Mus musculus: one gene and its partners. The protein of the gene in region 1 purifies or fractionates together with the protein of each later gene. This does not show direct contact. Links are inferred from orthologs where the notes say so. Each region holds a gene or a part of one and is shown in the gene's direction. Other genes may lie near its edges.

The links.
Region 2: the proteins of U2af2 (region 1) and Hnrnpm fractionate together in Homo sapiens (co-fractionation; 4 studies listed by BioGRID, with this or other methods). This does not show direct contact. The link is inferred for Mus musculus from reciprocal best matches to the Homo sapiens genes U2AF2 and HNRNPM.
Region 3: the proteins of U2af2 (region 1) and Ncbp1 purify together in Homo sapiens (affinity purification with mass spectrometry; 3 studies listed by BioGRID and IntAct, with this or other methods). This does not show direct contact. The link is inferred for Mus musculus from reciprocal best matches to the Homo sapiens genes U2AF2 and NCBP1.
Region 4: the proteins of U2af2 (region 1) and Srsf1 purify together in Homo sapiens (affinity purification with mass spectrometry; 4 studies listed by BioGRID and IntAct, counting the BioPlex papers as one, with this or other methods). This does not show direct contact. The link is inferred for Mus musculus from reciprocal best matches to the Homo sapiens genes U2AF2 and SRSF1.
Region 5: the proteins of U2af2 (region 1) and Hnrnpc fractionate together in Homo sapiens (co-fractionation; 3 studies listed by BioGRID, with this or other methods). This does not show direct contact. The link is inferred for Mus musculus from reciprocal best matches to the Homo sapiens genes U2AF2 and HNRNPC.
Region 6: the proteins of U2af2 (region 1) and Srpk1 purify together in Homo sapiens (affinity purification with mass spectrometry; 3 studies listed by BioGRID and IntAct, counting the BioPlex papers as one, with this or other methods). This does not show direct contact. The link is inferred for Mus musculus from reciprocal best matches to the Homo sapiens genes U2AF2 and SRPK1.
Region 7: the proteins of U2af2 (region 1) and Sf3a2 purify together in Homo sapiens (affinity purification with mass spectrometry; 3 studies listed by BioGRID and IntAct, with this or other methods). This does not show direct contact. The link is inferred for Mus musculus from reciprocal best matches to the Homo sapiens genes U2AF2 and SF3A2.

The regions. Positions count from the first base shown.
Region 1 is NC_000073.6:5,065,143-5,068,642, forward strand, and holds part of U2af2 (splicing factor U2AF 65 kDa subunit), read left to right. Parts: intron 1-919; exon of another isoform or gene 920-1,039; intron 1,040-1,260; coding exon 1,261-1,396; intron 1,397-2,067; coding exon 2,068-2,112; intron 2,113-2,401; coding exon 2,402-2,505; intron 2,506-2,889; coding exon 2,890-3,041; intron 3,042-3,500. UniProt on the Homo sapiens protein: Plays a role in pre-mRNA splicing and 3'-end processing. By recruiting PRPF19 and the PRP19C/Prp19 complex/NTC/Nineteen complex to the RNA polymerase II C-terminal domain (CTD), and thereby pre-mRNA, may couple transcription to splicing.
Region 2 is NC_000083.6:33,647,459-33,650,958, reverse strand, and holds part of Hnrnpm (heterogeneous nuclear ribonucleoprotein M), read left to right. Parts: intron 1-561; coding exon 562-1,364; intron 1,365-2,094; coding exon 2,095-2,146; intron 2,147-3,500. UniProt on the Homo sapiens protein: Pre-mRNA binding protein in vivo, binds avidly to poly(G) and poly(U) RNA homopolymers in vitro. Involved in splicing.
Region 3 is NC_000070.6:46,166,011-46,169,510, forward strand, and holds part of Ncbp1 (nuclear cap-binding protein subunit 1), read left to right. Parts: intron 1-727; coding exon 728-830; intron 831-1,291; coding exon 1,292-1,385; intron 1,386-2,440; coding exon 2,441-2,544; intron 2,545-3,118; coding exon 3,119-3,233; intron 3,234-3,500. UniProt on the Homo sapiens protein: Component of the cap-binding complex (CBC), which binds cotranscriptionally to the 5'-cap of pre-mRNAs and is involved in various processes such as pre-mRNA splicing, translation regulation, nonsense-mediated mRNA decay, RNA-mediated gene silencing (RNAi) by microRNAs (miRNAs) and mRNA export.
Region 4 is NC_000077.6:88,045,895-88,050,172, forward strand, and holds the start of Srsf1 (serine/arginine-rich splicing factor 1), read left to right. Parts: upstream 1-1,478; 5' UTR 1,479-1,944; coding exon 1,945-2,138; intron 2,139-2,595; coding exon 2,596-2,780; intron 2,781-3,148; coding exon 3,149-3,321; coding exon of another isoform or gene 3,322-3,375; exon of another isoform or gene 3,376-3,517; coding exon 3,518-3,712; 3' UTR 3,713-4,278. UniProt on the Homo sapiens protein: Plays a role in preventing exon skipping, ensuring the accuracy of splicing and regulating alternative splicing.
Region 5 is NC_000080.6:52,076,522-52,080,021, reverse strand, and holds part of Hnrnpc (heterogeneous nuclear ribonucleoproteins C1/C2), read left to right. Parts: intron 1-2,458; coding exon 2,459-2,619; intron 2,620-3,500. UniProt on the Homo sapiens protein: Binds pre-mRNA and nucleates the assembly of 40S hnRNP particles. Interacts with poly-U tracts in the 3'-UTR or 5'-UTR of mRNA and modulates the stability and the level of translation of bound mRNA molecules. Single HNRNPC tetramers bind 230-240 nucleotides.
Region 6 is NC_000083.6:28,602,022-28,605,521, reverse strand, and holds part of Srpk1 (SRSF protein kinase 1), read left to right. Parts: intron 1-135; coding exon 136-223; intron 224-1,977; coding exon 1,978-2,084; intron 2,085-2,668; coding exon 2,669-2,834; intron 2,835-3,500. UniProt on the Homo sapiens protein: Serine/arginine-rich protein-specific kinase which specifically phosphorylates its substrates at serine residues located in regions rich in arginine/serine dipeptides, known as RS domains and is involved in the phosphorylation of SR splicing factors and the regulation of splicing.
Region 7 is NC_000076.6:80,797,497-80,801,534, forward strand, and holds the start of Sf3a2 (splicing factor 3A subunit 2), read left to right. Parts: upstream 1-1,238; 5' UTR 1,239-1,309; intron 1,310-3,699; 5' UTR 3,700-3,736; coding exon 3,737-3,862; intron 3,863-3,959; coding exon 3,960-4,031; intron 4,032-4,038. Other genes in the region: Plekhj1 (pleckstrin homology domain-containing family J member 1), read right to left, coding at 277-343, 414-481, 585-678. UniProt on the Homo sapiens protein: Component of the 17S U2 SnRNP complex of the spliceosome, a large ribonucleoprotein complex that removes introns from transcribed pre-mRNAs.

The DNA.
Region 1 (3,500 bases):
TGTGAGGTGAGTTTAAAATCTACTTTGAAAATTTTCTCATTGATTTTTTTTTTTTTTTTTTTTTTCCTACTGCCAATCTTAGAAGTCAATACTTTTGGGATACACCTGTTTCGGTTCTTGAGTATGTTTGTTTTTGAGATAGGATCTTAATTTAACTCACTAGCCAACTCTTTTTCTTTTCCTGTGTCAGCCTGCCACATGCCTCATCACTCCTGGTTGTGTTGCTCTGTATGGGTGCGTGGGTTGATGGTTGAGAGATCGGTGGTACTTTGGAATTAAGAAAATGTATTAAGGCGATCCTGGTTTAGCGTCTACCTGAAGTGGGTAGTCTGCAGAATAGGAGTTATATTGTGTTTTGGTTTAAGTTGGAACCCAACTAATGTACCTCTAGCTGGTATGGAACTTGCTATGTAGACCAGGTTGGCCTTGAACTCTCAGATCCACCTGCCTGCCTTTGCCCTCTGAGGCTTTGTAGTTTTTCTTGCAAGGCTGTGCTCTGTTATTAGTAGCCATGGCCTCTAAGGCAAAGAAGCAAAGGAAACAGTAGATAATGGTGAAGACACAGGTTCTTATTCTAGCCCACCCTGCTTTTGGCTTTGAGGGAGTGAGGTAGCCAGGGGCTGGTGGATGCGGCTTTCTGGACCATGAGTTGAAATGTTTGGGAGGTATCTTTTCCTTCCTTTCTGTACATTTAGAAAGAAGCCCCTCCCTTTCAGAGGGTGTTTACTCTTGCATTATTCACCTGGCTGGGAAGGGATGGAATTGAGTTTCCTCACTTCTTAAGGTTACTAGGTCTGCCTGGCACCTGACCCTGGGGTCTGATGGTGGGGCTTGTGGGTACCAGCTGGTTGCAGAGGTTTTTCCTGAGGGTTTGGTGGGTTTCTTCAGGAAAACATCATTGGGTCTCTTGATTCCCCAGCCTCTAGCCCTGCCCCTCTCAGGGACGACCCTGAGGTCAGGCCCCTCAGCCCTCGAGGGGGAACAGGAGCCAGCTTCCTCTGTCTTCTCTGGCTCCTCAGCTCCTCTTGAGCATCTTCAGGTATCTTACACCCCGGGGGCATTTCCAGGCCCTGACCCTTTGGTTCCTCAGAGTCCTTGTAGACTCGTGTGTGGACCCAGGAGGCCTGTTGTCTCCTTTTATTAAAATCCCTTCCCTTGGGGGGGAGGCCTCCCTGGGTCTTGGTATAGCCACCAGCACGCAGGGTGGGCTGGGCCTGCACTTTCTCTTCACTCATTCCATCTCTTCTCACACTTGTCCAGAGCGGGACAAGGAGAATCGGCACAGGAAGCGTAGTCACAGTCGCTCTCGAAGCCGAGATCGAAAGCGCAGGAGCAGGAGCCGAGATCGGCGCAACCGGGACCAGCGCAGTGCCTCTCGGGATAGGAGACGACGAAGGTACTAGAGCTCTGGAACCTCTGGCTGGATGACTGGTCTCTGTGTTGGTACTGCTTGGTCTATCTTGAACTCCGTTTTCTCTGTTTATGGGATTTCTTTCAGTTTCTCTGGCAGTGCTAAAGGACTGCTGGGGGCAGTAGTTCCTGGGGACAGAGACTTTTTTTTTCCCTTTTCCTCTCTCTAAGGGCAAGGCTGTCCCTGTCTTTAAGGGCCCAGTTAATGTTTTGTTCTCTCATTCTGTTTGGGGCTGTTTTGAAGCCCTGTTTCTTCTTCTTCCGATGTGTTCTGGGAGTAGGGCAGGCTGTACCTGAAGCCTGAGCCTTAATTTTCCAGCTCAGGGCTATTGGTTTAGTTATTTAGAGTTATCTTCCTTTCCTGGGTTCCCTCATTCTTTCTGTTCCTTCTAGGTAAGGAGGTGTGGGATATATGAAGAGCCTCCTTCCTTATCTCAGTTTCTCCATAGAGTGGCATAGTCTCTTCCTGCTTATTACTTCCTCTTTCCTGGGAATGGTAGGGTTGGGGGGCTTGGCAGGGCTGAGGGGGCCAGCATGTTCCTCGGTCCTGCCTTGGTCTTGGGGTTCAGTGACCTTGGGCATGGTGTGTTGTGTGGGGAAGACAAAGGTCCCCAGTCACTCCTCCCCATACCTTTCCCTTTCCCTCCCACCCCTCAGCAAACCTTTGACCAGAGGCGCTAAAGAGGAGCACGGTGGATTGATGTGAGCTTCTCTTCCTGCCCCTTCTGCCCCATGTCCACTCCCTTATCTCCTTCCTCACCTGTGCAATTTGCCTGCCTTGCATCCCCACCCTGGCCCTAGCACTGGGGAAGAGGCTCATCTGCCAGTGTCCCTCCTCAGGCCCAGGCCCAGCTCTCCCTCCTGGAGAGAGTGGAGCTTATGTGTGGGAGGGTGTGGTGGGCTGGGAGGTGTTCCCTTATGGGACTTGGAGGCCCAGTGTTGGTCAGACTGAGGTTGCCCTGCCCCACTTTCCCCCTCCCCCCTTCCCCAGTCGTTCTCCCCGCCATGAGAAGAAGAAGAAGGTGCGTAAATACTGGGACGTGCCACCGCCTGGCTTTGAGCACATCACCCCAATGCAGTACAAGGCCATGCAAGGTAGGCCTCTCCCTCCCATAGACTGTTGTAGGGGTTAAAATATTGTGTGTGTGTGTGTGTGTGTGTGTGTGTGTGTGTGTGTTAGGAGTTAAAGTTCTGTGTGAGAACATGTTTGGTGAATCTGAAGGATCATACTCAAAGGCTTCTGGTACCTACCATGGGAAGCGCTGCTGCAGGAGGGAATGTCTTCCACAGTGGGCCGCTTAGGAAATCAGACTTCTTAGTAGTGGGTATTGGATGGGGCCCCACTGCTGAGTTGACTTGGGTGATTGAAGAGCTTCCTGAAATCATCGTCTGGAGGGTGGCTGGGTAGGGTCAGTGTACACTGAGTGGTCCTGGTTTTAGGGTTGCTGATGGTTTTTACTCTCTATACCTCTCTTGAAGCTGCGGGTCAGATTCCAGCCACTGCCCTTCTCCCGACCATGACTCCTGATGGTCTGGCTGTGACCCCAACGCCAGTGCCTGTGGTTGGGAGCCAGATGACCAGACAGGCCAGACGTCTCTACGTGGGCAACATCCCTTTTGGCATTACTGAGGTACTGCCCTCCTCCTACCCCTGCCCTCTCCCCTGTTTCCCCACCCTGTGCCTCCCCACCCTCCATTCCCTTTCCCCAACCTGCACGCGTCAGACTCTGTTCCTGCAAGACCCCCCGGCCCCCTCCCAGACGGACGGATGGAGTTGAGCCAGCCAGGGGCCGGGCTGGGGGTGGCCCCTCCCTCCCTCCTCTTCCCCTCTCCCGTCTCCCTTTCCCCAACCTCCTCCAGCAACCCAGGGATCAAACACACACATAACGTACCCACCTACATATTGTACCTACGTGTTGGAGAGAGACAGAGAGGGAGACTCAACACACGTACAAACAGACGCACGCCCCTACAGTTTTCTGACATGCTCTCCTTTTCTGCCGTCTATCCACATCCTTTTCCCCACATCCCTCCCATGGTCGCTGTTCTTTTGTTTTTGGTAGTCCTGACCTCCCCCACCTTCCCCACCG
Region 2 (3,500 bases), on another chromosome or scaffold:
AAATGATCAGTTTGTATGCTTGTGTATATTGAGGGTCATTTTTGTTTTATCTTTTACATGGCTGTGTGATTATTTTGTGCCCTAGAAGTGCTAAAGGAATTGCAGCAATAGTGGACATCAGCAGGGCATTTTAAGAGGGACAGGTTCTCTCAACTTGAAGGTTGTAAGTAACTTTGAATTGTCTCCTGTCAGTTACCCTGAGTATGAAGTTTTCTGTGCTTTTTAAAGAGCATTCGTAATGTCTGCTGATGGGGACACTACAAAGGTTTTTAGAAATTGAAGTATGACAACTCATAGCCAGTATGGAGGTGAAGTTTTATTCCTTCTAAATTTTATTGTGAAATTTTTACCTGTGCTATGTAGTGGAAAGGATGATTGTGTGGATTTCAATGTGAAAACTTTCAAGAGGTTTTTTTTTGTTTTTGTTTTAATAGTAAATTACTTTGAGCATGACTTCCTGATTTGAGCTTAGGATCTGAAGTGCCCAGCCAGGCACACATTAGTATATGAACATCTACATAAGTCTCTGACTTCTACTTGTGCTTTTTATTCCTGTTTCAGGTGGAGCTGGAGGCAGTGTCCCTGGGATCGAGAGGATGGGCCCTGGCATTGACCGCATTAGCGGTGCTGGCATGGAGCGCATGGGCGCAGGCTTAGGCCATGGCATGGATCGAGTGGGCTCTGAGATTGAGCGCATGGGCCTGGTCATGGACCGCATGGGCTCAGTTGAGCGCATGGGCTCCAGCATTGAGCGCATGGGCCCACTAGGCCTTGACCACATGGCCTCCAGTATTGAGCGCATGGGCCAGACCATGGAGCGCATTGGTTCTGGCGTGGAGCGCATGGGTGCCGGCATGGGCTTCGGCCTGGAGCGCATGGCCGCACCCATTGACCGTGTGGGCCAAACCATTGAGCGCATGGGCTCTGGTGTAGAGCGCATGGGTCCTGCCATTGAACGCATGGGCCTAAGCATGGATCGGATGGTGCCCACAGGCATGGGGGCCAGCCTGGAGCGCATGGGTCCTGTGATGGATCGGATGGCCACCGGCCTGGAGCGCATGGGCGCCAACAACCTGGAGCGCATGGGCCTGGAGCGTATGGGAGCCAACAGTCTTGAGCGCATGGGCCTGGAGCGAATGGGCGCCAACAGCCTGGAACGTATGGGCCCTGCCATGGGCCCAGCATTGGGCGCTGGTATTGAGCGAATGGGCCTGGCCATGGGTGGAGCCGGAGGTGCTAGCTTTGACCGAGCCATTGAGATGGAGCGGGGCAACTTTGGAGGAAGCTTCGCAGGTTCCTTTGGCGGAGCTGGAGGCCATGCACCTGGAGTAGCCAGGAAGGCCTGCCAGATATTTGTGAGAAATGTAAGTGGTTCTTTAGTGGAATTTTCTTGTGGTTGTTGTGAAGTGGGGAGGCCAGTAGACTGAATGATGTAGACTGGAGAGGGAAGTTTGATGAAGGGAGAACTGGGCAGTACGGGTGATACAGCTTGCCTATCTCCAGAGTTGAACTGGAAGTTGAGGGGTTACTGGAAGAGCAGTAGTCTTAGTGCCAGGCATGGTGGTCCACTCCTTTAATTCCAGCACTCTAGAGGCAAAGGTGAAGTGGCACTCTGGGATCCAGTCTAAAAAGAGCTACCAGGTGAGACACTGTCTCCAAAATACAAAGAAACAAAAATACAATTGCCTGGCATTGCCTGTGATATGCCAGGTGAGGAATAGACTGAGCTCTAAAGGTCTGTGGTTTCTGGTCCCTGGCTTGAGGAGCACTTCAGCCTTGGCACAGTGATTCTGAGAAAGGTAGCTGTGCTTGAGTTACGTATTGTCACCAGATTGTGAGTTGTGCCACTTAGTAGCCTAGTTCTACATAGACTTGTTTTGTTCCCTGCTGATTGTCTTGAGGTCAGCAAGTGAGGATTTGAGGGATTACTGGGGGTTCAATCTAGGGCTGTCCACACACTAGGCAAATCACTGTATACCCCATAAGCTGCACTCCAGCCCAAGTGCCTTCAAGTCATATTCTCGTATCTAGTAGAATGTTTGTACATTAAGACTTTGTTGTATCACAGATTAGTCTGCCTCTTTTTTTCCTCAGCTCCCATTTGATTTTACATGGAAGATGCTAAAGGACAAGTTCAATGAATGTGGTAAGTGTGTAACAGGCTCTCTGTGCTTCCTGTGTCGTGGCTTGGTGATGCTGCTGAGTTGGAGCAGTGGAGCTTCTTTCCTAGTCTTACCCACCACTGTCCATGGGCTCCAGAGCGACCATGGGCCTTGCCATTGTTCTACCTGCAGGTGTACAGGCAGCTGTTGGGTGTCCTGGTATGTGTCATGCTGTGTGCTCATTTCATCCTTGCAGTTCTTTTCTAGTTAGTTTTTGGAAGCAGACTCTCACTTTATAACCTAGGCAAAACTCAAGTTCATGATTCTCTTGCCTCTGCCTTGCATTTGCTGGAACTATAGGTGAATGCTACCACTCCTGCTTTTTCAGAGTTTCTGAGAGGAGGCAGTGTTGTCATCTTTTTACATAAGAGTCAGCAAAGCAGTATTCCTACGGTCACAGACTTGTAAAACACAAAAAAAGTAAATTTAAGAAAAATTGATTTCCTCCATTAAACTCATAGCTGGTTTGGTTCCTCGGGAACTCATGCTTAGCAGTTGTAGGTCTGAGCACACAGTATGGGGTGAAAGTCTGGTTGTGGATTCTTAACACGAGGCAACCTTTCTGGAAAGCTTCTTTGATGACCAGGATGCAGTCGTCCCCTGCTTGCATTGCACCTTCTCAGCTAAACCAAGATGTGGGTGGCTGCTGGATCAAGACACCTGTTTCTTGTTTCCTCATGCAGAAATGGCTCACATTCCAATGTTCTTGGTGTGTTCCTTGATTCTTTGGGATAAGCTGTAGAGTCAAAGCCAACTATCTTTCCTAGTCCCGTGATTCTCTGAGTTGCAGTTTTCACAACAGTCAATATTGTAACTAGATATTCCAAAAACTGGGAATGGAATGTGTCACTCTCCCCACTTCTGAGAAAATTCAAACTCAAAAGATTCTGCAGACTTGGTTACATTTCTCTCCTGCCCTTGAACATGAGTTATATGTTCAGGTATATCCTCTGCTTTCCTGCCAGAAAATTCTCTCTGCCCCTTTGCTTTTTTCCTCCCCCTTTTCTCTTTTTGAGATAGGCTTCAAAGTCCTTATGTAATCAAGAATGACCTTAAACTCTTAGTTGTATTGGGGAGGGGGGTGACGGGGGGGGGGGGGATATAGATTGGGCCTTTTAAAACTCAGATGGCCCTCACTATATAGCTAGAAATAACCTTGAACTTGTAGTCTTCTACCTCCTGAATGCTTGGATTACAGAGGTAGCCACCCTGCCTGGTTTGTACAAATGCTGGGGTTCAACCCAGGGGTTTTATGCATGCTAGGCAAAGCACTGTGCCCACTGAGCTGCATCCTTAGTGACCTTGAATTCTTGATTCTTCTACCTCCAACTTCCAAGG
Region 3 (3,500 bases), on another chromosome or scaffold:
AAAGAGCAGATGACTGGTCTGCAGAGACAGCCCTTTGCTTGGGAGTGCACTGAAGACGTGTTAGTCAGCTGTGGTAACAGGAGGTTTAGACTTGGCAGAAGTTGTAAGCTGTAGGTTTAAAGGTTTTGCTGGTTTTGCTTTAACATTTTGACATCTCGTAATCAGAATATGGAAGAGGGATGTGTGATGGTTTTAAGCAAACGGGTCATAAGCCAGGAGTGGTAGTGCAAGCCTGTTAATCCAACCAAGTTTGAGGTTCCTGGCCAACAACAGTGCATAGTGAGAGCCTGCCATAAAAACAACCCTGAGCTATATAGAAGAACTCTCCCATGAGAGAGAGTTAAGGGTCTGCTTTTTCACGAGGGATTGACATGAGGTCTTGCTATGTAGCCTTGGCTGGCCCAACTTAGTTTTATGTTGTCAATGTGTGAAATCAGGAGTGTGGTGTTGCTTTTACTAGAACATTATTATATGTTCATATGTTATTAGCAGTACAAGGTGTAGCACCAAAGAATTACTATAGTTAACTTGGGAGGGGGGGGGCGTTTTTTCGAGACAGGGTTTCTCTGTGTAGCCCTGGCTGTCCTGGAACTCACTCTGTAGACCAGGCTGGCCTCGAACTCAGAAATCTGCTTGTCTCTGCCTCCCAAGTGCTGGGATTATAGACATGCACCACCACTGCCCGACAGTTAACTTTTTTTAAATCTTACTATAAAATATTTTTCAGATGAAGGGTTCAGATTTAACCCTTTGAAAATAGAGGTCTTTGTCCAGACTCTGCTGCACTTAGCTGCCAAGTCCTTCAGTCACTCCTTCAGTGCTCTTGCAAAGTAAGTATATACATTTGAGCACCAGTGCTGTACTAACTTGCCTAAAGTTGTTAAATATGAAGATCTTCTTACATAGTTTGCTAGAGTGGGGTTTGGTTTGTGGTGGCTTCCTTGAGTGTGTGCAGTGTAGCTGTGCATGTGGTGGGTAAAGCAGTGCCAGCCTAGGTCCCGGGGACAGTCGTCTACACAGGCTGAGGGTCCGGCCTATCTTGACGCCTTTCCCAGGAGAGGAAGCAGCAACGAGAGCCTGCCCGAGGGTTGGCATGTAACGATAGCAAATCTGGTAAGAGTCCATGAGGAAAGAGCACTCTCCTAAGCTGATGAAGCTTCCTCGGGCGCAGTTCCAACACATGTGTGGGCTTAGGGATGACTCTTTGTCTTTTATTATGTGCTATATTTTAAATTCAGTGACACTAAAGGGGCTTCTGAGTAACTCTGGTACTTTGCACCTTTGTCTAAAGGTTTCATGAAGTCTTCAAAACTCTGGCGGAGAGTGATAAGGGGAAGCTGCACGTGCTGAGAGTCATGTTTGAAGTGTGGAGGAACCATCCACAGGTAACGCCTGCTCACTGGGACGTGGGCCTGGCTATGGAGATACACACGTATGACATTAGGTAGATTGGAGTCTGCCAGTAGTAGAATGTTTTTTAAGTCTGTACACTGGGTGTTATGGAAATACTTAACTGATACATTCTTCTTGGTAGATTTTTAAATTACACTGAGCTGTTGCTTAGGGGTGCATGGGAGGGTCACGGGGCCTATGCGAAGTCAGAGGACAAATTTCAGGTCTGTTCTCTCCTTCAACCATGGTGAGTCCTGGGTATTGAACCTGGCTTGTCCAACTTGCCATCGAGTGTCTTAGCCATTGAGTCATCTCGCCGGACCTTGGTAACATTCTTCAGGTGGCATTGGGATTGGTTTTGTGCTAAAGCAATTCCACACATATTAGATGCTGAGGAAGAAAATTGTTTGACCACAATATTTGGTAGGAAATAGTTGTCATGATTATCCATTTCTACAAACAAGACCCATAACATTTTTAAGTAGGGCCAGACATATATATATACTTTTTTTTCTTTTGTTTTTGTTTTTGTTTTTCGAGACAGGGTTTCTCTGTGTAGCCCTGGCTGTCCTGGAGCTCACTCTGTAGACCAGGCTGGCCTCGAATTCAGAAATCCGCCTGCATCTGCCTCCCGAGTGCTGGGATTAAAGGCGTGCACCACCACGCCCGGCTTATATATTTTTATAGAGGTATTATCAATGAAAGTTTTCTTAAAGAGTATGTGCTACCATTCAAGAGTTGTCTTTTCATGCAATCTTTATTATTAATATAGTTTTCTTATAATATTAGAGCATAGCAGAAGGCAGAATAAATCTAAAGGCTGACTAGTCTAATCAAGACTAATGGCAGCACTTGGGAAGTAATGGCAGGAAAATCAGGAGTTCAAGGCCAGCCCTAGCTATATGAAACCGTGTCTAGAAGAAAAAAAAGACGAGCTATGGCTTAAACTGGTCAATTCTCTTGCCATTGAAATCACATTTCATAGCCGCACTATTTCATTTCCTAGCATTGTTTACCACCGTGCCTGCTTGTCTCTTCCTTGTCGTAGATGATTGCTGTGCTGGTTGATAAGATGATTCGTACGCAGATTGTCGACTGTGCAGCAGTAGCAAACTGGATCTTCTCATCGGAGCTGTCTCGGGACTTTACGAGGTCTGAACCAGAACTGTATCACCAGTAACAGTGTGATGTTACACAGGCTTTATAGTGATCAGGACCAAAGAGCAAGGGCTAACATATTGTGAAAACAAATGAAATAAAATCTGTGACAGTCTTAACTTTTCCACTACACCCACTATTTGCAGAGCACACTTGTCAGAAATATACCGAGGCCTGAAGTGTCATATGATCAAAAGTTTTTACAGGGCCAACAAGATGGCTCAGAGGGTCAGGGGGCTTGCTGTCAAGCCTAATGGTCTGAGATCCCTGGGTTTGATCCTCAGAGCTCACATGGTAGGAGAACCAACTCTAATGTTGGTGTTTTATTAAGGGGTGGACAAGTACAGGTTATGGTCCTGCCCCCTGGGAGCCGCCTGCCTGACTAATGTGTGGAGACGGATGCTTCATAATTCACCGCAGGGCTGAACTAGTGTTGCTGGAAAAGACTGCTTCATTCTTCCCAGGGGACAGAAGGCCCCATCAGCCCCTAAGAATGATAGGCTGAAACTGTAGATATTTCCTCTGCAGTAGCATAACATACATTAACCAAATGCTGTATTACTTTAAGGTTGTTTGTGTGGGAAATTTTGCACTCTACAATTCGTAAGATGAACAAACATGTTCTGAAGATCCAGAAAGAGCTAGAAGAAGCTAAAGAGAAACTGGCGAGGCAGCACAAACGAGTAAGTCACCTGCCGACCTGAGGGCTCACAGGTTGGGACAGAATCTGCAGGGTAGTCCGAGCCATTGCCGTGACACTAGGCTTTTTCCAAGTTACATAAAACTGCCACATGCTATGGCACTGATGTTGACCACAAACTGTTCCCTAGTTTACCACCTCTAAGTGGCTTCCTAGAAGAAACTTGTATATCTCTAAGTCTGGCACAGAGGAGAAGAGACACAGTTGGAGAGGCTGAGGAGAGGTGGGACAAGTTAGTCTCCGTCCCGAC
Region 4 (4,278 bases), on another chromosome or scaffold:
CCCCCACTCTCACTGTCCTTGATTTCTCCAGCCAGTCTTAATATTTAATGGTTTCATTTTAAGCAGCCCCACATCCTTGGACTGTTGTAAATAAATGATAACATCCAGGGGCAGCAATGACTCAGTGACTCATCTGGTTAAGGTGCTCCTCCCAAGCCTGACGTTTCATCTCGGGGGCTCACATGGCATGAGTGGTGAACTGCACCTTATTTTCTGACTTTCACACATGGGCCATGGCATGACCCACCACCCCAAGACACAATATGCATAACATAAAAATTAAAAACTAAAAATTACAGTATAAAGAATCACCCTTAGAACCTGTGGGGATCCGACTTAGCATATTTATTAGTGATAGGGTCGACACAGCTCTGGCTGGCCTTGAACCCTGAAATTCCGCTTCCCAAAAACTTCAAGAGGCATTTACCACTACGCCTGGCTGTCTCTATCCAATCATGAAAGGCTCTGGTTTTAGCTGGGAGGTAGTGACTTTGATCCCAGCACTCAGAAGGCAGGAACTCCAGGACAGCCAGGGGTACACAGAGAAATCGTGTCTCAAACAAAACAACCCCAAAACAAAAACAACACCAAGAAAACGTTTTGTTTTTCAATATTTTTAATAGAAAGGGTTTCCCTGAATGTCCCGGGCTAACCTTTCCCCCCGCCTCCCCTTTGGTTTTTCGAGACAGGGCTTCTCTGTATAGCCCTGGCTGTCCTGGAACTCACTCAGTAGACCAGGCTGGCCTCGAACTCTGAAATCCGCCTGCCTCTGCCTCCCGAGCGCTGGGATTAAAGGCATGCGCCACCACTGCCTGGCTCCGGGATAACCTTTACTAGAACTGTGTATAACAGGGTAGGCTGGACCCTCCTTGCCTCAGCTTCCGGAGTGATAGGATTTCAGGCACACAAGCTTAAGTCCAGATTGGTTTGCTTTTATTATAATTCGAGTTCATTAACAACACTACAAGGCCGTATGATTTCACACGTAAGGCTCTTCTATTCCCGTTATTACAAAACAAAGAAGCAAAATTGTGGTATCCAATGCAAGAATCCTTTTGCAGATAATCTTGGCAAAATAAACAAATAAATAAATAATCTCCCTAGACCAGCACAGAACCGGGATCTCGGCTCTGCAGTTAAACTGTTTTATCACTCTTCCTTTTTCATCCTTAGAAAGGAGGAAGAGGAAAACTCAAGGCACAGTTTTCATTTAGATAGATATGGAGGATCCGTCTAGACACTTTAACTAAGATGCAGCCCACCGCAGGTTCCCAGAGGCAGAAGCCACACTGCTCCGCTTCGGCTTTTAAATGAAATCACCTGCAACTCCCGCCGGCGGCACCGAAGTGCAGAAGATGCCCAGGTTTCCGGAGCAACAGCTCAGCGTCATCTATCTCCGCCCCGCGGCGCCTTTCCCGCCAAAGGCCGTTACCACCGCGGAGCATGGTGGGACACGCTTGCAAGATAGGTTTCACCCAATCTTTTTAGAGCGCCGAGCTGCTTTCAGAGAGGGTCTACCCCCGAGGTGGCCGACGATTCTGGACTCAGTGGGGATTAATAATAACCGCTTTAACCAGAGCATGTGATTTTTACTAAACGCCTGGACGTTCCAGCAGCCAGTCAACCCGCCAGGACGCGAGGGACTTTTTCCCCTCCGTGCGGAGGGTGACGTCGCGCGTGCGCGAGCGTGCTTCTCAGCACCCGTTAGAGGCGTGCGCCTGCGCACTGGGAGGGACGAGCCGCTTCCTCCGGCTTCTCTTCCTCCCCCTCCCCCCCGGTATCAGTGCGCCGAGCTGATAAAGGCGCCATTTTGGAGCGGCCGCGGGAGACGTGGTGCCGCTGAGGGCTCGCTCTGCCGTACGCTAGGCTTGGTAGGAAGGCCTCTTTTTTTTTTTTTCCTTCCCCCCCCCCGAGTCCGCGCTTTTCGTCGTCGCCGCCGCCGCCATGTCGGGAGGTGGTGTGATCCGTGGCCCGGCGGGGAACAACGACTGCCGCATCTACGTGGGTAACCTACCTCCGGATATCCGAACCAAGGACATCGAGGACGTGTTTTACAAATACGGCGCCATCCGCGACATCGACCTGAAGAACCGCCGCGGGGGACCGCCCTTCGCCTTCGTTGAGTTCGAGGACCCGCGGTGAGGCAGCGTGGGGCGTGCGCGGCCTTGAGGAGATAGCGTGGAGGAGTTGGGGAAGGCTCGGAGGCCTTGGAACATAATGGGGGGAGAGGAGGGGCTCCGAGGCGCTATCGCCCCTGCAGGAGTCGAGTCAGGAGAGCCGAGAGGCGGCGCGTTGTCTCCGGTGGCCGGCCGCCTCGGACGTCCCCCCTACCCCCCGAGCCCATGCGCAGCCCCCGGAGCGGGAAACCGAGGCGCTGAGGGCCGGCGAGGTGGTCGGGAGCCTCTGCCCGGCGTGGTGCTGGGTGGGGGAAGGGCCGGCCCTATTATGCGGCGCATGTGGGGCTCCGTGTGGCCCCGTGGGTGCGCATGTGCGCTGTGGCCGCGGCTTTTCACCCCCGGAGCGGGCGAACGAGCTGGGTCCGGCGGCTCCCTCCCCTCATCACCCCCCCCTTTCGCTTTCTGTGATCACACGCAGAGACGCGGAAGATGCGGTGTACGGTCGCGACGGCTACGACTACGACGGCTACCGGCTGCGGGTAGAGTTTCCCCGAAGCGGCCGCGGGACCGGCCGAGGCGGCGGCGGGGGTGGAGGCGGCGGCGCCCCGAGAGGCCGCTATGGCCCGCCGTCCAGGCGGTCCGAGAACAGAGTGGTTGTCTCTGGTGAGTTGACTTCGTGCGGGTTAAAATCTTTTTCCCGCATGACTGCTTTGAGTACTGCAAGGTTTTTGTTATTGTTGTTTTTGTTTTGTTTTACACACGGGGTCTTGGACTACTTCGGTCTTTGGGATGAATTTAGTAAATAAAGATTACTGTGGTGGTGATTTACCCAAATTAGGTTGCAGTACTAGCCTATGAAGATCCTTTACAAATAAATTTGGACTCTGGATCTGACTCTTACCAGCTCTTTACCTGGAAACACTTAAGTACAATCATTAAGTATTTTAAAATAATCCTTGTTCGAATGTACTTTACACGTTTGCCGTGGGACAGGATGAGTAGTATTAAATTAGGGGGAATCGCTTTTTCAGGACTGCCTCCGAGTGGAAGCTGGCAGGACTTAAAGGATCACATGCGTGAGGCAGGTGATGTATGTTACGCTGATGTTTACCGAGATGGCACTGGTGTCGTGGAGTTTGTACGGAAAGAAGATATGACGTATGCAGTTCGAAAACTGGATAACACTAAGTTTAGATCTCACGAGGTAGGTTATACACTTATTCTTTTTTTTGGCCAGAATTGGATACAGTTTTCTTAACAGTGGAATTTGAAGGTAAGGATACAGGCAAGGGTGTTCACGTAAATTACCAGAGCCCTGATCTGTCTTTGTATTCGTTCAGCTTGTCTGAAGACAGGTGAAAGCTTAGATCTTTCAATGGAAAGTTCTGTCTATCCAATAGGGAGAAACTGCCTACATCCGGGTTAAAGTTGATGGGCCCAGAAGTCCAAGTTATGGAAGATCTCGATCTCGAAGCCGTAGTCGTAGCAGAAGCCGTAGCAGAAGCAACAGCAGGAGTCGCAGTTACTCCCCAAGGAGAAGCAGAGGATCACCACGCTATTCTCCCCGTCATAGCAGATCTCGCTCTCGTACATAAGATGATTGGTGACACTTTTTGTAGAACCCATGTTGTATACAGTTTTCCTTTACTCAGTACAATCTTTTCATTTTTTTAATTCAAGCTGTTTTGTTCAGAATGGGCTAAAGTGTTGAATTGCATTCTTGTGTAATATCCCCTTGCTCCTAACATCTACATTCCCCTCATGTCTTTGGTAACTTGTATTTTAAGTGATGTCATAGACAGGATTGTTTAAATTTAGTTAATTTCCATGCTCTTCAGACTGTGATATTATGTAAATGTCTATTCTGCTCTGGTTTGTGTGAAATGGGATGTTGGGGGTGTTTGTGGTTATCTTACTTGGGGGAAGTTCTTATGTTTATCTTGCTTTTCATGTGTCTTTCTGTAGACATATCTGAAGAGATGGATTAAGAATGCTTTGGATTAAGGATTGTGGAGCACATTTCAATCATTTTAGGATTGTCAAAAGGAGGATTGAGGAGGATCAGATCAATAATGGAGGCAATGGTATGACTCCAAGTGCTATTGTCACAGATGAAATTGGCAGTATTGACCTTATACTAGAAGGCGAGGGTTAAAAATTT
Region 5 (3,500 bases), on another chromosome or scaffold:
AAGCTTGGAAGTCTTAGGGATTGAGATAAAAACATCCTGAATTCAGGTACTAGGAAGATTCTAACCGATACTTTGCCCCAACCCTAAATTGGACCTCTGACGAAAGAACACTAATATTGAAAAGATCTCAAAGGACAGTGAGACATGCATAATAAGCAATGCTATTTTTTTTTCTTTAGATTTATTGTGGGCTGGAGAGATGGCTCAGTGGTTAAGAGCACTGCTGCTCTTCCAGAGGCCCTGAGTTCATTTCCCAGCAAACACATGGTGGCTCACAACCATCTTTTGGTGTGTCTGAAAACAGCTACTGTGCACTCATAAATACAAGTAAATCTTTTAAAATGTATATTAGTGCTCTATCTGCATGTATGCCTGAATGCCAGAAGGGGGCATCAGGTCCCAGTACAGATGGTTGTGAACCACCACGTGGTTGCCAGGAATTGAACTCAGAACCTCTGGAAGAACATTTGGTGCTCTTAACCCCTGAGCCATCTCTCCAATAATGCTAAATTTTTTTAGTGCTTGGGCTAAGGTATAAAGCCAGGATATGATAGTGAATTTGTGGTCTACATTAGCCTACATTATTTTTGGCTTGGAAGTCTTTCAGGGAGACTAAAATTTTTTCTTCCCATTAAATATATCATTGATGTTTGTTAACATTTTCTTCCATAGCCTTTCATGTTGTTGTTGTTTTTTTTTTTTTTTTAAAGATTTATTTATTTATTTTATGTAAGTACACTGTAGCTGTCTTCAGACACCCCAGAAGAGGGCGTCAGATCTTGTTACAGATGGTTGTGAGCCACCATGTGGTTGCTGGGATTTGAACTTCAGACCTTTGGAAGAGCAGTCGGGTGCTCTTACCCACTGAGCCATCTCACCAGCCCCAGCCTTTCATGTTTAACCTGCTTAAAAAATGAGAAAAATAAATTCAGATGAAGGATTCCATAAGTCATATAATTGGCACCATTGCTCTTGCATATATTGGGAGACTTCTCTTTGTAGTATAGATGTTTTAGTCTAAACCATTGTACTTTTTGAAAGTGGTAATGACCTTGCTTTTGTTTTGTTTAGACTTGGTCTTTCTTGTGTTTTGTTGCTCCTGGCTTGGGGAGTCTCATGTAGCCCAGGTCTGCCCAAGATCCTCCTTGCCTCAGTCTCTTGAGTGTGGGGTTACATGATTTACCACTACATCTGACTTTTATAGTTTTTCAAAGACTATGTATACCATTCTTAACAGTACTTGGTGAGATGGTTAGTGTTAAGTTCCTGTGACTGCTGAAGCCACATAAATGAGAGATGGTCCCTATAAAACTGTGCATCCTTCTGTAGTACGCAGAGCTCCAGCTCCATTGAACACTGTAAACTTTTCTCTAGATTACTTCATTACCTATAACTTAGTATTGATTAAAACTATCACTTAGCAAGTAATACGCAGATACTCCTGTCCTGTAAAAACTTACTGCTAATTCGTAGTGTAATAGGACCTTTCCTAGTGTTTTCAGCTTGTAACTCAAAAGAAGTAGCTAGCAAACTCTTCCTTGAACCACAGAAATCAATGACACTGAAAGGGGAACAAATTGGTTAAATATAGTAGAGCTGGAGAAAGTAATGTGTTAACACTAAAATTTTTCAATTTTACAAAAATAAATTCAAAACAAAACTTTTTAAAATTAACTTATCTTGGTTCCTCCGAGATGGCTCAGCAGGTAAAATGTGTCTGCCACCAAGTATGATGGGTCATATTTACTTTCCAGGGTTCCATGGAGAAAAAAAATTCACATAAATTATTCTGACTGGCCTCAGAATAATATCTAGAACTTGAATAAAATCAGAACACCTTTTTGTTGTAGTTGACTTTATGTGAATTGTTTAAGTATAAGGTAAAAGCAATTCATTCTAACTTACATTCTCTTAAAATTTCCATAAACTGGAAACAGTCCATTTTTTAAGTCTAGTCAAGCCTATCATTTACTGTATGTGTGAGGGGGGGCTCTTTCCTCTTGCAGCATTTTTCATCAAATTGAGTTTTGAATAACATAAAAAGGAAAAGAGGTGACTAAAACCAGTAATCCTGTTGTTATGCTCTGGTTGTATCTTGAGTTAATCTCTTCTCCTTCCTCTCCCCTCTCCCCTTCCCTCCTCCTCTCCTCTTCTCCTCTCTCCTCTCCTCTCCCCTCCCCCCTTCCCGTCTTCTCTCCTCTCCTTCCCTCCCTTCCCCTCTTCTCTCCTCTCCTCCCCTCCCCTCTCCCCTCCTTCTCCCTCTCCTCTCTTTCGTTTTTCGAGACAGGGTTTCTCTGTATAGCCCTGGCTGTCTGGAACTCACTCTGTAGACCAGGCTGGCTTCAAATTCAGAAATCCGCCTGCCTCTGCCTCGGGAGTGCTAGGATTAAAGGTGTGGGCCACCATGCCTGGCTGGAGTTAAATATTCACTTTGAAGAATTATTTCTTTAACCCACAGGATGTACAGTTACCCAGCGCGGGTTCCTCCTCCTCCTCCTATTGCTCGAGCTGTGGTGCCTTCCAAACGTCAGCGTGTTTCAGGGAACACCTCACGAAGGGGCAAAAGTGGATTCAATTCGAAGAGTGGACAAAGGGGATCTTCTTCCAAGTCTGGAAAATGTATGTTGTTTTTGTTTGTTTGGTGTTTTTTATGCAGCACACTCCACCTCCCAGGTAGTGCTTTTTTTTCCTGGCATTTGTGTGTAAGGGGTGGGGGCCAGTGTTTATTCCTGAGTGTTGATTCTTCTGAAGATGTAGTTGTGGGTGTGAGATAATCTGATTTGGGTGTTGAGAACTGAACTTCCCTGAGAGCTTCTGCAAGTATAAACTAGCAAACTCAACCACTTAGCTACCTATTCTTCCTGTTCTTGAGAAATTGCTAGCATTGACATAACTAGAGTGTAAACTTGAGTCTGGGTGATGTCCACTTAGTAAAGCTAATGCTTCAAGGGTAAGGACCTTGGTTTGTATCCCAAGCATTCATATAGAGCAGACCATCTTAGATGTCTTTAACTTCTCTTAGGCTGACACACAGCCCTGCACCTGCCTGCCACCTAACCTTGCAAAATCAGTGAGCTCCCACCCATTTCACTGAAAGATCCTTTCTCAAAAATGTGGAGGTGGATCCAGAGTAGTAATGGCTTTCATCCCTCCATTAGGGAGGCAGGGACACATCAACACTGTTCGTTCATTTGTTTGTTTGTTTTTGGAGACAGGTTTTCTCTGTGTAGCTCTGGCTGTCCTGGAACTCACTTTGTAGACCAGGCTGGCCTGAAACTCAGAAATCTGCCTCTGCCTGGGAGTGCTGGGATTAAAGGCATGCACCACCACTCTTTTAAAGATTTTATTTATTATATGTAAGAACACTGTAGCTGTCTTCAGACACTCCAGAAGAGGGAGTCAGGTCTTGTTACAGATGGTTGTGAGCCACCATGTGGTTGCTGGGATTTGAACTCTGAACCTTTGGAAGAGCTGTCAGTGCTCTTAACCGCTGAGCCATC
Region 6 (3,500 bases), on another chromosome or scaffold:
TCTTTTCATTTTTTATGGTGGGTTGTAGTAACAGCAGTGTGGGAAAGAGGCTCAGACAGCCTGCTCCTCCCTGTTTACTTGAGGACTGACTGTACTACTTCACTTGTGCTAAAATATGGCTTCCTCCCAACACAGGTTCGCAACTCAGACCCGAATGATCCAAATGGAGAAATGGTTGTTCAACTACTAGATGACTTTAAAATATCAGGCGTTAATGGAACACGTATCCTTTAAGAGCTTTTTTGTTGTTGCTGCTGTTTGTTTTGTTTTGTTTTCTCGAGACAGGGTTTCTCTGTGTAGCCCTGGCTGTCCTGGAACTCACTCTGTAGACCAGGCTGGCCTCAAAACTCAGACGTCTGCTGCCTCTGCCTCCCTACTGCTGGGATTAAAGGCGTGCGTCACCCCGCCTGGCTTTCTCTCTGGTTTTGCGTGCGTGAGTGCATAGTTGCAGCCCTTGAGCAGAAGCTGGTTACTGTCCTCTTCCCATCCTTCCTGATGCTTCTGTGCCTGGTACGTGGGCACTCGTGAATACTTAAAAGGGACATCGGCAAATATCCACCATGGTGGTCTAGCTTTCCCTTTGGTACCTTGTTGTTTTTCCACCTGGGATGCCTAGATTCACAACTGAGAGTCTACCTAGAGTCTCAAGACCTTCCTCCTGAGGGACTCCTGCCCCTGTTGCCCAGTGCCTGCCATCATCTGTTTAAGTTTGTCTGTTTGAATCAGGCAAATAAGAGCCCACTAGGCAGTGATGGCGCACGCCTTTAATCCCAGCACTTGGGAGGCAGAGGCAGCCGGATTTCTGAGTTCGAGGCCAGCCTGGTCTACAGAGGGAGTTCCAAGACTGCCAGGGCTACACAGAGAAACCCTGTCTCAAAAAAAAGAGCCCACCTGTCGGATCCCTTAATTTAGGTCTGTGGTTGCTTTCTCGGGTTTGTCAGTTTTGTCTATTGTACCTTGAGGGATGTGTGTTCTTTATCGTGCTGTATCAGCACCTGTGAGCAGATCCATCAGGCTTATCACTGAGATGCTGCCCGCTGTGAAGGTGACATGCTTTGTATGACACTGGTCTCATAGGTCGCCTACAGGTCTCTCCGGAGGCTGAGTCCACAGGCGCCATGTTCTCCCACTGTGGCAGTTTATTACTTGGCCTTGGTGTTCTCTAGTAAACGTGTGCTGCCTCTCCTCAAACTCTTTATGTTAACTTTGACCCTAAAGTAGGATGCTAACCCAATGGCCTGCAGAGTGGTGGTGCTTCTCCACCCAGTCTGGGCCACATGAAGAGACCGTGGGTAGGCAGCACGCAGGCATTAAGATCGATGCATGGAGTGTCTGTATAAAGCGAGTCAGGGATCTGTTTTTAAATTCTCAGGGAGGGTTAGTCCAGTGCCGAGGTACTTCCCTCGCAAACACTAGGTATGTTCCACTCTACCACAGGCAGAGAGCTTGCCACCTTCACCTTTCAGTTAAGTTTTGCATCTTCTTTGTTCTTCATGTTGAGCCTGTGTGAGTGGTCATGTTACACACACACACAAGCCCGATATTCTGAGGGGAACCTGACTCTGAGGGGACGACTAGACTGATCTTTCCTTCCACCTTCTGAGTGTGTTTTCTCCTCCTAAACCAACTTTTTTTTTTTTTTTAAATTTTCTTTTCTTTTTTTTTTTTAAAGATTTATTTATTTATTTATTTATTTATTATATGTAAGTACACTGTAGCTGTCTTCAGACGCACCAGAAGAGGGCACCAGATCTCATTATGGGTGGTTGTGAGCCGCCATGTGGTTGCTGGGATTTGAACTTCGGACCTTTGGAAGAGCAGTCGGGTGCTCTTACCCACTGAGCCATCTCACCAGCCCCCTAAACCAACTTTTTTAAAGTAGTTCTGTGACTGAAAAGACTGTTGATGCTGGAGTCTACCTGCTTCCTTGGGCCTCTTTTTTTTTTTTTTTTTTTTTTTTCCTTAATGAACTCCTAGATATCTGCATGGTGTTTGAGGTTTTGGGGCATCATCTACTCAAGTGGATCATCAAGTCCAACTATCAGGGGCTTCCGCTGCCTTGTGTCAAAAAAATTATTCAGCAAGTATGTATGTTGGTTATTGCTATGTGGGATACCCCTCCCCTCTATTGCCTGCCTCTTTGAGAAGTATCTAACTATGTTATGTAGACCACGCTGCCCCAGAACTTAAGTTTGCTTCTGCCTCCTGGGTGCTGGGATTAGAGGGTTTCACCACTACACCTGGCTGATGGTATCTTTATTTAAAAACCTCCGGTGTTTTCTCCTGACAAAACACAGACTGAGGATCGGGCTGGGAAGTGACTCACTTGGAAATTGTCTGCATGCGAGTGTGGAGACAAGAAAACTTGGCATTGTGGGCTTTTGTTTTAGTTTGTTTTTTTCTTATGTCTGTGTGGTGTTTGCCTCCATGTCTACGTCATGCATAGGCAGAGTCCAGATGAGCATTCCCTTAAGCTGGAGTTTAAGGTGCTTGTGAGCTGTCATATGGTTGCTGGGAATTGAGCCTGGGTCTTCTGGAAGAAGAACCCAATGCTCTTCGCTGCTGGGCCAGCTGCACCTGCGAACCCTCTCTCTGTGCGTTGTGACTCTTCCTTTCCCAGCAGGCTTGGACCGTGTGTTACTGAAGCTCCTGCTTTATTCTCACTTAGGTGCTACAGGGCCTGGATTACTTACACACCAAGTGCCGGATCATCCACACGGACATCAAACCAGAGAACATCTTGTTGTCTGTGAATGAGCAGTACATTCGAAGGCTGGCTGCAGAGGCCACAGAGTGGCAGCGCTCAGGAGCTCCCCCACCATCGGGGTCTGCAGGTACATGGGGTGCTTTGCTTGAGTCAGACCCTCAGGAGGAATTTCTGTTTTCATTTGTTCACAAAACAGCAGAATTGTACTCACTGATTATTTTAGAGATAGTAACAACATTAAAGAGACTGGTATTTCTTCCAAATGGGAAGAAAATGAACAGTTGTTATTTTTTTAGATAAAAAGTATTCGATATAGTAAAATAGCTGACTTACATTATTGTTTTAGAGTGTTTTTATTTGATGGGCTTTTCCATTTGATTGACTCCTTTGTAGGGGCATGTAGCTCAGTATATGTGGGTGTTAGGACAGCTTTCAGGAGTTAGTTTTCTCTGCCACGTGGTTCCTGGGGGTCAGACCAAGGTACTGAGGCAGCATCTGTCTTTGCCTGCTAAACCAGGCTTCTGACCACTGTCATTTTCATTTTTTAGGATGTCTTCTTATACAGTATGTAGGCCAGGCTGAATTTGAATGCCTGATCTTTCTGTCTTAGGCTCCCCGGGGCCTAGATTGTAGCTGTATGACACTGGGTGCTCCCTGGGTGGCTGGCTGTGGTTTGCCTCTTGGTGCTCACACATGCTCACCTACTGACACTGTCAAGTAGCAAGTGCTGCTGGATTGTGTTTATCGAGGAGACCTTGGCCCAGTTAGGAACTGTGGGAGTTGGACTCCCGTG
Region 7 (4,038 bases), on another chromosome or scaffold:
GGCCTTAAAGCCTGCCCGTACCCTACCCGTGGCAGAGAGGGCGGCAGAGACTGTTCCTGCTATACACCCCACGTTCGCAGACTGCACCTCTCTCAGTTGGGAACGGGCAGAGGGGTCGGAGAAGAAACTAAGCGAGAACCAGACCCAGTGGGCACTCTGAGTGATAGCTGGGCCAGTCCTGGGCCACCAGCGGACGCGGGATCCAGGACAAACGTAGGCTCCTAAGGGAGTAAAAAGGATCGGGTGTGCGGAGCAGAGTCCGGGATGGAAACTTACTGATGGAGAAGCCGCCCGGTTCTTCCTGGGCCACTCTGCAGCGCTCCAGCAACAGGGCTCCGAGGGGCTGCGCGAGACACGGCCATGAGCGCCGGCCTCCGGGCCGCGCGGGTCCCCCGCGCCCCCCACGCCCCTACCTCGGCCTCGTCCGGGCGGAAGTAAAAGAGGAAGTTGACCACCAGCTTCACCAGTCGCCGCTTGGCCACTGTAGGCACAGGGCGGTGTCAGCGCGGAACTGTTCTCATTCGCCCACCCAGGAACCGCGCCGGCCCGCCCAAGTGCCCCAGCCGCAGCCCCGACTGGCTCACCGCTGCCCTTCTTGGGGCCCCGCATGCCCAGCTCGGCCGCCATCTCTGCCGGCTGTCGGGACAGCGCCTGCAACTCTTTCTCGTTGTACCGCATCCCGCCGCACGGATCCGCGCGAACCAACACGCGCCCTGCCTCTCGGCCGCCGTCCTCCCCGAAGCCGCAGCCAGCGCCACAAAAGTCTCAGAGAGCGATCTCGGAAGTCCCAACCCGGTTACTGCGCCTGCGCGTTGTTGGGCTGGTTGCGCGGCCCTAATTTATGGGTCTGCGCGGTTGAACAGAGTCAGACGGGAAGGAGATGGCCCGTCCTTAAATAACCGCCAGACATACTAAGCGTGAGGTGTAAGTTAGACTCAGAGCACTCCACGATGAGCGAAGCGCCTTCCTGGGCCGGTGAACCCTAACGCTTTCCTCTTGTCACGATAGCCGGCGCCGCTAGACTTAGGGCGGAGCGAAACTGTGCGGTCGCTGCAGTGAGCACGCGCACTCTGCGCCCCGACGCTCCTTTCTCTCCCGCCTACCGAAGACGGAAGTCCATCCGCTGGGCCTGCGCACACACGAAACGCCGACGCCTTTGCTCCCGGAAGGGATCGCTTCGTCGGTCGTGCGCACGCGCGCGGCGAAACCGCGGCCTTGGCGGAGATTAAACCCGGATAGCGAGGCCTTAGCGTTGGTGAGGAGCTGCACAGTTTGTCGGTGGCGGCTGCTCCGTCGGGGAGGCTTGAAGGTGGGAGCGAAAGCCCGGGGGCGGGACGGGGAGAGGCAGCGGCCGCCCTCTTGCCTCAGGATCGGCGCGCGCCCGCCGGGAGAGCGCGCTCTCGCGAGGCCCGTTGGGTCGCCGCGTGATTGCTGGCTTGGGTGGCGCTTCTGTGGCCTCCAGGGTGGTTCGGGGTGTCCGAGTGGCGTCTCGGCGTGTATTTTGACCTCCTTGGTTGTTTCCGTTTCCACCTTCGTTAATCGGGGCCCTGGCGACCACTGCTCCTGTCCACCGGAGCAGGTCCCTTGCTGGGATTGAAAGATAACGGTATCTGCACATAAAAGGGATTTGTCCTGGGACCAGGCCTCCTCCCAGACCATTACCTTAACATATACCACGTCTCTGTCCTTATTGATCGTTCATCGGTAATCTTACGGTAGTCCGTGAGGTTGCGCATCTCCCGTCCCTGCGTCCTGGCCTCCTGTCCCAAGTTTCACGTGTGAGCCCCTCCAGTCATCGGCACAACTTTTCATTTATTTCAGACAGGGTCTCACTGCTTAACTGGGGCTGACCTGCAACTCGGTGTGGAAACTTGGCCGATTTCCAGTTCACAGACATTGCCATGCCTCTGCCTTCTCTCGCATAGTGGGACTTACAGCATGAGCCACCACACTTGGCTGTTTTGATTGGTTTTAAGGAATCGAGGGTTTATTTTGGCTGATGGTATGAAGGTGCGGTCTGCCGTGGTGGTCGTGTTGCAGCAGTAGTCAGCAAGCAGATAAATGCCCTTCCCCGCGTTTTTAAAGATTTTGTTTTAATGTGTCTGTGTGGAGCTTTGTGTGTGAGTGGGGTACCCATAGGGTCCAGAAAGGGATATCAGAGTCCCTGGAGCCTACCGCCACCCTTTTTTCTTTTATCTGAGATAGGATCTCACTGCACAGCCCGGTTTGGTCTCTAACACTAACCTAACCATCTTCCTACCTTGGATAAAGAAATGGGATGAGAAGTGTACACCACCACGCCCTACGTTTTCTGTGTTTCCTGGGGTTGGGAACTGTTGGTGGGCGTTTGCAGAGCTTGGTGCCCCATCCACAGAGCAAGCAGTGTGCTCACCCAGGCCCCAGTTTTGTTTTGCTTTTCTAAGATTTATTTATTTATAATGAGTACACTGTAGCTGTCTTTAGATACACACCAGAAGAGGGCATCGGGTTCCATTACAGATGTTTGTGAACCACCACATCATTGCTGGGATTTGAACTCAGGACCTCTGGAGGAGCAGTCAGTGCTCTTAACCGCTGAGCCACTTCTCCAGCCTGCCCAGGCCAGTTTTGTCCTAGTGTTTGTTTTCCCTCCAAAGCTCATGAACTAACTGCATTTTTGCAGTGGGTACCCATACACATTCAACCTCAAACATGTACCCCTAGGGGACCTTATGCATGATGGACAAGTGTTCCACCCTTGAGGTGCACCCTCACATCTGTGGCTGGATACCCAGGCTCCCTGCAGAGGCCAGGTATAGAGTCCTATGTTCTTGAAAGTTGTCTTTGCCAGCGGTTGAAGTGGTTTTCCATCCTGCTGTTGCGGGTGCCCTCTTGCTCTGAGAAGCCCATGCTGCCACCCTTAGACTCTGCTCTTGCATCTGGCCAACTTCATCTCTGGGAATGTGTCTCTTAGTAGCTTTCAAAGATGTAGACAATGCTCTTTTCAGTCCTTAAGTGGCTGAGTATGAAACATCCGACAAGCTGGTTCTGCCCCACCACTTCCATATACATCTTTCAGCCATTCTCTCGGCATCTAGAGCATCTTGTATCCTTTGCATTCTAGCCTCTTTCTCTTTGACAGCCAGTGGTATCAGTGTCCTGTCTGTCCCAGACACACTCTGTGGTGACACTGAGGTAACTAGGTACCTGGCCCTCAAGGTTCTTAAGTCAAATTTGCAGGAGGCTCCAGCAATATTAACAAGGACTGCCTCCACTTGTTTCCTGAGTACTGTCTCTGAATTTACCTATAGGTTTAAACCAAGGGCTGGGGCTGACACTGAGTAGTCTAAAGTGTTCTGTCATCAGATGACACTGCCTATAGGCTTTGGTTGAGCCTCAAAGATGGGACCCTTGGTACCAAGCACTCCATATGCCATGTGTCAGGTGGAGGAGGGCGTGTCCTTTAATGCCTGCAAAGGCAGGCACACAGGCCAGCCTGATCTATGTAGAGAGTAACCATGACTACATAGAGAATCCTCTCTTAATAATAATAATAATAATGAGAAAAATTAACAACAACACCGGGGAGAGGTGGCTCAACTGTGGTCACAGCTCTTAGGAGGATCAGGAGTTCAGCGAAGGGAATGACCTGCCTGCTGGGCTACCTCGTCCTAGCATCATGTACAGTGTTCTGAGCCTTAGCTGTCCTTACTCCCCCAGGTTTCTTCCTGTCCCCTGAAGCACCCAGGCCTGCATCATGGACTTTCAGCACAGACCTGGAGGCAAGACTGGGAGTGGGGGCGTAGCCTCCTCCTCTGAGAGCAACCGGGATCGGAGAGAGCGTCTGCGCCAATTGGCCCTGGAAACCATTGACATCAACAAGGTCGGGGGGAGGGGGTGCCAGTTCCCACATCCACAGAGCTCTCACATGCCTCAGTCCTTGGTTCATGCAGTCTAACGGTACATTTATTCACTCCCAGGACCCGTATTTTATGAAGAACCACTTGGGATCCTATGAGTGCAAACTCTGCCTGACTCTGCATAACAATGAGGTATCTG